Saccharomyces cerevisiae S288C: one gene and its partner. The gene in region 1 interacts genetically with each later gene. Each region holds a gene or a part of one and is shown in the gene's direction. Other genes may lie near its edges.

Region 1 (5,138 bases):
TAAGAAAGTTATCCTCTTCGATTACTGTTCCATCGAAGTTAGACCCGGCATCAATGAAAGTCGGTAAGGACCCTGTTGTGAGACCCTTGAGTCTTTGTAAAGTAGTGGTTGGTGGGTCGGCAATGAACTTCAACAATAGGGAAGATGCATCCTTATCGCTTGCAAAAGAATCATACAATGATAATATATTATTATGATAGTTCAAGTTGTAATTAGAGTGGGATTCGTTTACAGGAATAGCGAAATCAAATCTCAAAGCGTCAATAACCAAAATCACCGCCTTGTTGAACCTAGGAGGTAACTTACTCGTTTCGTTTTGTGAGGAAATATTATCAAGAACGTGTCTTGACAGTAAGAATCCCCGAGTGAAAAAAGCTATTGATATGAATTGTAAAATGGCGATGAAAACCAATAGAATAATATAAAATTTATGATTCTTTTGAAATTTCTTTATTCGCGATTTGTATATTATTTTTTCATCATTGGAAGATGAAAGAATCGACTTTTTAATTGTCTTTTCATCCATATTACGGGAGCTTTTTTTTTCCACTTAATGTATTGATCTTCCTCCCGTTCTTTGACGATTCGGCGTTGCCCTTAAAACATATGCTTCTATTCCTTTTTTGATCTTACCCATTTATTTGTTTTTTTTTATTTTCCGGTGGACAACAAAATGTTAAAGGAAAAAAGAAAGTACCTTGCTCGTCATCGCGCTTGCATAATGTGCGCCATTACCCTGTAACAAAAACAAAAGATAGAGTGGCAACAACTTGACACAACTTTGCAATTGTACCATGAACCCCAACAAGAAAGGCGGTTGAGAGTAAATGATGTGGTTTGGTTCCTTTTTTTTCCTACATTTAAGGTTCATAGAGAAGAAAATTTTCTGAAATGTCTTTTCCTCTTTTAATGAATTGTAAAAAAGCCAGTATTGGAATAATATTCTATTCAATATAGTAAGAAAAGAGGCAATGGGCAGAAATCTTCTCCCGCATAATCCTTTAAATGCAAAATACATGTTAGGCGTCTAAATTTTTTTCAGTGAATCCAGATGCAGAAACATTTAAACAATAAATATCTTAAACCCATTTTGAAGCATCGGCGGCTAAAAAAATGATTTTGCATGGAAAAAAATGAGAGCTGTGAACCCAATAAAAAAGACAGCTTTTTAAAAATGTATAACGGTACATTAAGCTCTTGTTTATTCCTCAAACTGCTCCTAAAAACCATCCTCTCAAAAATAATAATGATAGCTGAAGATTATCTGCCACGAAATGCCATTGAGCCGCTTACTTGTAGGTTTTCATGAGTAATAACGAAGATAATTTACCCGTCTTTATAACCCACGTAAAAATAAACATATAATTATTTCTTATTATTTCAACTAACCGTTAAAGTGTTCAAATATGGTAGAAAGCTTTCCCTATGTGCATTATGATTATCTTTTAGCCGCCAGAGTTTAGTTTAATTTTGTTTTGTTTTTGACGACTTCTGGTGTTACCCGAAGGTATATCCCCGGGTGACCCCTAAAAATCGCACCCCATTTTCCCGAATTTTCTTCTACGTTTTCTTTTTTCAGAAATACTTCGAATGAGGGATGGAACAAGAAGGAAGCGACATACAAAAACTGAGTCAGTTTAGTCTTAATAGGTGCAATATTTACAAATACAGGAAAGGCAGGAAGCACTGGCAAAAAGACTGCATAGCTAAAAAAAAAAAGAATAAAAAAAAAACGGAGACCTCAACAGAGCGAAACCAATAATTACAAACAAAATCTTCATATGACTTCGAAACCATCCACCAGTGACGGCAGGGCTCACTCGATTTCCCATGTACCTGGCACGCACATGAGAGGAACATCGGCATCACACAGCCCCAGACCGTTTAGGCCATGTGCGGATTGTACGTGTTCTCCAGGCTTACTGTCTAGGCAAGGTCGTAGAGCCTCTCTATTTTTAAGACAGTTAGAAAATTCAAGGAGGTCCTCCAGCATGCTTCTCAACGAGTTGAAGGGCGCTGGCGGAGGTAGCAGTGCTGGAAATGGGTCTGTTTACTCATGTGACTCTCTATGCGCTGTTAACAGGGAAGTTAACACTACTGATAGATTGTTGAAGTTGCGTCAGGAGATGAAGAAACACGATTTGTGTTGTTATATTGTGCCCAGTTGTGACGAACATCAGTCCGAATATGTATCATTGCGAGATCAAAGGCGCGCCTTCATTTCAGGGTTTTCCGGATCGGCCGGTGTAGCCTGTATCACCAGAGACTTGTTAAATTTCAACGATGACCATCCGGATGGGAAATCCATTTTGAGTACTGATGGAAGATATTTCAATCAAGCTAGACAAGAACTAGATTATAATTGGACACTTTTGAGGCAAAACGAAGACCCAATCACTTGGCAAGAATGGTGTGTCAGAGAAGCTTTGGAAATGGCCAAGGGACTTGGCAATAAAGAGGGAATGGTGTTGAAGATAGGTATTGACCCAAAACTTATCACTTTCAACGACTATGTTTCTTTTAGAAAAATGATTGACACTAAATATGACGCAAAGGGTAAAGTGGAGCTGGTTCCCGTGGAGGAAAACTTAGTTGACAGTATTTGGCCTGATTTTGAAACTCTACCTGAAAGGCCTTGTAACGATTTACTACTGTTAAAATACGAGTTTCATGGTGAAGAATTCAAAGACAAGAAGGAAAAGTTACTGAAAAAGCTGAATGATAAGGCTTCCTCTGCGACGACCGGTAGGAATACTTTCATAGTAGTTGCGTTGGATGAAATTTGTTGGTTGTTGAACTTGCGTGGATCCGACATTGACTATAATCCAGTTTTTTTCTCCTACGTGGCTATTAACGAAGACGAAACCATTCTTTTCACCAATAACCCCTTCAATGATGACATATCGGAATATTTTAAGATAAACGGTATTGAAGTCAGACCTTACGAACAGATATGGGAACATTTAACAAAGATAACTTCGCAGGCTTCTTCTGCGGAGCATGAATTTTTGATTCCTGATAGTGCATCGTGGCAGATGGTTCGTTGTTTGAACACCTCAACCAACGCTAACGGTGCAATAGCTAAAAAAATGACTGCACAAAACTTTGCGATAATTCACTCACCCATCGATGTTTTGAAATCTATCAAGAATGACATCGAAATAAAAAACGCACACAAGGCGCAGGTCAAAGACGCAGTATGTTTAGTGCAGTATTTTGCATGGCTGGAGCAGCAATTAGTGGGGCGCGAGGCACTGATAGATGAATATCGTGCCGCAGAAAAATTGACCGAGATTAGGAAAACCCAAAGGAACTTCATGGGCAATTCCTTCGAAACAATATCCTCCACAGGTAGTAACGCCGCCATCATACATTATTCGCCGCCCGTAGAGAACTCTTCGATGATTGATCCTACCAAGATATATCTTTGCGACTCCGGTTCGCAATTCTTGGAGGGTACAACTGATATAACAAGAACAATTCACTTAACAAAGCCAACCAAAGAAGAAATGGATAATTACACACTGGTACTTAAAGGTGGCTTAGCCCTAGAGAGGTTGATTTTTCCCGAAAACACTCCCGGGTTTAATATCGACGCCATCGCTAGGCAGTTTTTATGGTCCCGCGGGTTAGATTACAAACATGGCACAGGCCATGGTATCGGATCATTTTTAAACGTTCACGAAGGACCCATGGGTGTCGGCTTTAGGCCACATCTGATGAATTTCCCCTTAAGAGCGGGTAACATAATAAGTAACGAACCAGGTTATTATAAGGATGGTGAGTATGGTATCAGGATTGAAAGCGACATGTTAATCAAGAAGGCCACTGAGAAGGGTAACTTCTTGAAATTCGAAAACATGACTGTGGTTCCCTATTGCAGGAAGTTGATCAATACTAAGTTACTAAACGAAGAAGAAAAAACACAGATTAACGAGTACCACGCAAGGGTATGGAGGACAATAGTGCATTTTCTGCAGCCTCAGAGTATTTCATACAAGTGGCTGAAAAGAGAAACAAGCCCACTATGACTTCGAGGCGAGCGGGGCGCAATACAATTAATGTTAGTATTTATTCTAAGTAGTTTCTTTCTTTTTATTTAATTTGAGTGATAACAATAACAACAATAATGACTAAAAGGTGAAAATTGAAAACATTACCTTCATTTTTTTACGGCCGGAGAGGGGTAGGTACACTTAACCCCGAGCGCTTTTAGTGCCAAAAAGAGTTAATGTGCGTAGTCGGATTTTAAACGACCATGCATGTACAGCCCCCTAGTGATTTATACTGATGCCTCATCAAGAAATTTTTTCATCCAGGGTCCCTGCTCGGCGAACCTTTCCGCAAGAGTCACAAAAATCAATCTTATAACCAGGCACCAGTAGTACTGCCAAGCTTGGACTACATAGCCAACGTAAAGACAAGGAGTCTGATTTAGTATTTCTTTTTTGCCAGCCAGTATTTTCTGCGCAGGATAGATTATTTTAAGAGCCGAGAATTCCTTATGCGGGCCCGGTCACAACGGATTATAGGTTCCGCCAGACCCCGTTGCTTTGGTTCCATGGAGCAGGAGCAGGATTTTCCGTGGAAAGAGAAGCACCGAGCGAAAAGCGGATACGGAAGGCGGATGCGGAAACGGATGCGGACGCGGAAGGAAGGAAGGAAGCAAACCCTTCCGTCTATGTCGCTATGAAGCCGTCTCACAGTAGAGCCATTCGAGATTTCCGTCCGTCGGTACACAGAAATCTTCGTATCGGGAGTTTTACTTTAAAAGGAAACGATCGTAGGAATTCCCTAAAGAAAAAGGAAGAAAAATTTAACGTTGAACATTGTCATTTTCTTTTTTTTTTTTATGTGTGCAGAATATACTATCAAGTAATGTGTTCTATATATAAAGGGTACCTCATTTGATCTTGATGTTTCTTTCTGCTCGTATGCCTTGAGTCACCAGTTTTCAAAAATAATCTTGGTCTATAGAAGAGAAAAATCCAATAATCTGAAATTGGTTCTTCGCACCCTTGCAACGAGATCATATACTAAATATCGGGAACTCTTTATTTCTGGATCTTTTATCAGTCACTTTTTTTTTTAGTCAAAGAAGCAAGAGAAAACTAGACAGAGACAATGTCGGATCATTC
Region 2 (3,447 bases), on another chromosome or scaffold:
ATTGAGTCCCCTGGTCGCAGCATCTAGGGCACATCCTGTCCCCGTGGCCCCGCCACCGATGATCAACACGTCGAATTGATGCGTCTTGGCCAGACGGTCCAGCAGGTCTCGTCTAGAGACCTGCGGTGGAGCGGCGGTGGGGAATTGCACCATGTAGCTCGGGTCATTGTGCACTAACGGCCTATCACCTTGGCTAGTCATCCAGTACAGCGTCCCCGTGGCTGTGGCCATGGCAGCAGCTGCACCGGCAGCTCTTCTTCTCGTTACCGAAAACATATATTAGTACGTATTTAGTCTTGTAGCAGTGATGGCAATAGCACGGTCAAGATAAGGGAGGGAGAGTCCTTGCTTTAGACCAAAGTTCCCTATTTGTGGCTGTTCTCTTTTAAGTTTAAATACGATTTTTAGCGTGCGGGGTTGTGAAATTTCCCCTGCCAAAACTGAAATAAAGTTGGGTGGATAACGTATCGGAGCAGAGAAAAGACATAAGGTCTGTTGCTGTATATAAGTATGTGTTGCTAAAAAGGAATTAGTGCAGTGATTATTGGTCACTCGCTGATGCCCTTGCGCTTGGCACGTTTCAGCTTCTTTCTAACCGCGAGGATGGGCACAGAGCAGACGAAGTTCTGCAGAGTGGACAGGATGACCGAGAGGGAGCAGCACAGGGCGACTGGCTTGAGGCCGTGGATCATCTCGTTGAGGAGGTGTTTTGGGTACGGATGGGTCAAGGAGAGGACGACGACGTCGAGGTCGTCGAGCACGCCCGCGACGCAGTCAAACAGGTGCATGACGTGCTTTCTGATTCTGGCAACGTTGGCGAACATCTGGGAGTCGTCCGTGGGCTTCGAGGGCTCCCAGTGGACAATGTAGACGGTGTCTCCCTGGTTGACAGCTGCGCCCATGAGATAGGTCAGGGCGTAGGTGGACTCGCTGCTCAGGTCCGTGTAGAGGATGAAGGACCTTTGGTTCCCGGCCTCTGCGCCGGCACCCTTGGTGAGTAGTTGCATGGCTCTGACGTAGCCTCCGTCGAGTTGCTCCAGAGACACGTCTTCGTTTTCGTGGCCACGGATGCTGATCTCGTACTTGGCTATCCAGGGCTTGCTGGAGTCTAGCACTTCGTTTATGCTGGTACAAAAGTTGGGTAACACTTTCATGCCCAGATCGTAGTGGAACTCCTCGTCAATCTCTAAATCGTTCTCTATATCGCTCACTTGCTCTTCATCGGACTCTTCCTCGTCCATATCGTCGCCGTCGCCGTCGTCGTCATCTTCGTCGTTGCCCTCACCTTCCTCTTCAGAATCCACATCCACGACCCTCAACCGCATCGAGGGGTCCTGCCTCAACACGGTCCACTTGAGGAACTCTTCCTCCCTTACTCTGCTGCGGCTACTGGCCCTGCTTCTCGACCGCGACAGACTGCTCACGTTTGAGTCTCGTTCGCCTCTTTTCTTCTTGCTACGACCTCTTTCCCTGTGGCCCCTTTCCATCTGCTCCGAGTCGAACTCCACCGTGGTGGGCGTTTCCGTTTTGATGCTGTGTAGATTCGATTGTGTTCCGTCAGGTTTAGTCAGCAATATGCTCTTCTGCATTGCGTACTTGGTTGTTTCTCTTGTTGGTTCTTTTGGTACTCACCCTTTCCATAGTCTCTTGTGTTTGATCAAGCCTTTTTTCCGGACCTTTAAAGCTTTCTTAAAAAGATAAAATAGGAAGAAAGTGCAAAGTGCAAAAGAACGCACATATGAACAAGCATTAAACGAGCAAAGAAATGTCTCTGGATCGTGTAGATTGGCCGCACGCCACCTTCTCTACGCCGGTGAAGCGTATCTTCGATACGCAGACAACGCTGGACTTCCAATCGTCACTAGCCATTCACAGAATCAAGTATCATCTTCACAAGTACACTACGTTGATATCGCACTGTTCTGACCCCGACCCGCACGCTACTGCGTCGTCGATCGCCATGGTTAACGGGCTGATGGGAGTGTTGGACAAGCTGGCACACCTGATCGACGAGACACCGCCTCTTCCAGGTCCTAGAAGGTATGGTAACCTAGCATGCCGCGAGTGGCATCACAAGCTGGATGAACGTTTGCCTCAGTGGCTGCAGGAAATGCTTCCCTCGGAATACCATGAGGTGGTGCCTGAATTGCAGTATTACCTGGGCAACAGCTTTGGTTCGTCGACAAGATTGGACTACGGCACGGGCCACGAACTTTCGTTCATGGCCACGGTCGCAGCACTGGACATGCTGGGGATGTTTCCGCACATGAGGGGGGCAGACGTTTTTCTGCTGTTCAACAAGTACTACACGATCATGAGGAGGCTGATCCTGACGTATACGCTGGAGCCCGCTGGGTCACATGGCGTGTGGGGGCTTGATGACCATTTCCACTTGGTGTACATCTTGGGCTCGTCTCAATGGCAGCTGCTTGATGCGCAAGCACCCTTGCAACCAAGAGAAATACTGGATAAGTCTCTGGTGCGCGAGTATAAGGACACCAACTTCTACTGCCAAGGCATAAACTTTATTAATGAGGTGAAAATGGGGCCCTTTGAAGAGCATTCCCCCATCCTATACGATATTGCCGTCACCGTTCCACGCTGGTCCAAAGTGTGTAAGGGGCTTCTAAAAATGTATTCTGTAGAGGTTCTGAAGAAGTTCCCCGTGGTGCAACATTTCTGGTTCGGCACAGGCTTCTTTCCCTGGGTCAACATTCAAAACGGCACTGATCTTCCAGTCTTTGAAGAAAAGGAGGAAGAGAGTATAGAACAGGCTAACGCAGGATCGCCCGGTCGAGAACAGACTTCAACACGATTCCCAACGTCCACGTCAATGCCTCCCCCAGGCGTTCCGCCGTCAGGTAACAATATCAACTATTTACTAAGCCATCAAAACCAGTCGCACCGGAACCAGACTTCTTTTTCAAGAGATAGACTACGTAGATAATATTAATTAAACATATAAATGTGTATGACAAGCATTATGACTTCTATTTTCGTTCTTTTTTACTTGCGTCTACAATATATAAGCATATAATCAGATGAAAAAAGGAAAAGGAAGCGGTAATACAAATAAACAAAGAAGTGGAAAAAGTCGCCACAGTGTAAGCAAATGAGTCACAAGAGAAGGGGCCTGGTAATATATCAGGATCAGAAGCAGCAACAACAACACCCCCCGGGGCAGTCCCTAAGCTCTATATCCTGGTCTCCAACCAGGCGACCTCATCACCCTTTAAAACAACAAAGCACCAACAGTTTCTCAGAAATACTATCGAAATCAAGTGTGCAACCGAACGTGCAACATGACGGTAATCATATGCCCATTTCATTGCTAGTTCTGAAACAAGAACATCATAAGCAGCAGCAGCAGCAGCAGCAGCGCCAGAATATCCGATCACAAAACTCTACGCCTCCCCTGCGACAGTTGGTTCAGGAGTCGCAGTGGAC

What was found. Genes that interact genetically often act in the same process or in processes that back each other up.
Region 2: mutations in FRA1 (region 1) and RRD1 together harm fitness more than expected from each alone (negative genetic interaction), as found in Saccharomyces cerevisiae (2 studies listed by BioGRID).

Annotation. Positions count from the first base shown.
Region 1 is NC_001144.5:79,680-84,817, forward strand, and holds FRA1 (aminopeptidase P), read left to right. Parts: upstream 1-1,781; coding exon 1,782-4,031; downstream 4,032-5,138. Other genes in the region: mannose-ethanolamine phosphotransferase GPI13, read right to left, coding at 1-526; RRT7 (Rrt7p), read right to left, coding at 677-1,018; polyamine transporter TPO1, read left to right, coding at 5,125-5,138. UniProt on the Saccharomyces cerevisiae protein: Involved in the regulation of the iron regulon in responss to decreased mitochondrial iron-sulfur cluster synthesis.
Region 2 is NC_001141.2:53,433-56,879, forward strand, and holds RRD1 (peptidylprolyl isomerase RRD1), read left to right. Parts: upstream 1-1,765; coding exon 1,766-2,947; downstream 2,948-3,447. Other genes in the region: GUT2 (glycerol-3-phosphate dehydrogenase), read right to left, coding at 1-276; IMP21 (Imp21p), read right to left, coding at 549-1,589; VPR1 (Vpr1p), read left to right, coding at 3,113-3,447. UniProt on the Saccharomyces cerevisiae protein: PPIases accelerate the folding of proteins. It catalyzes the cis-trans isomerization of proline imidic peptide bonds in oligopeptides.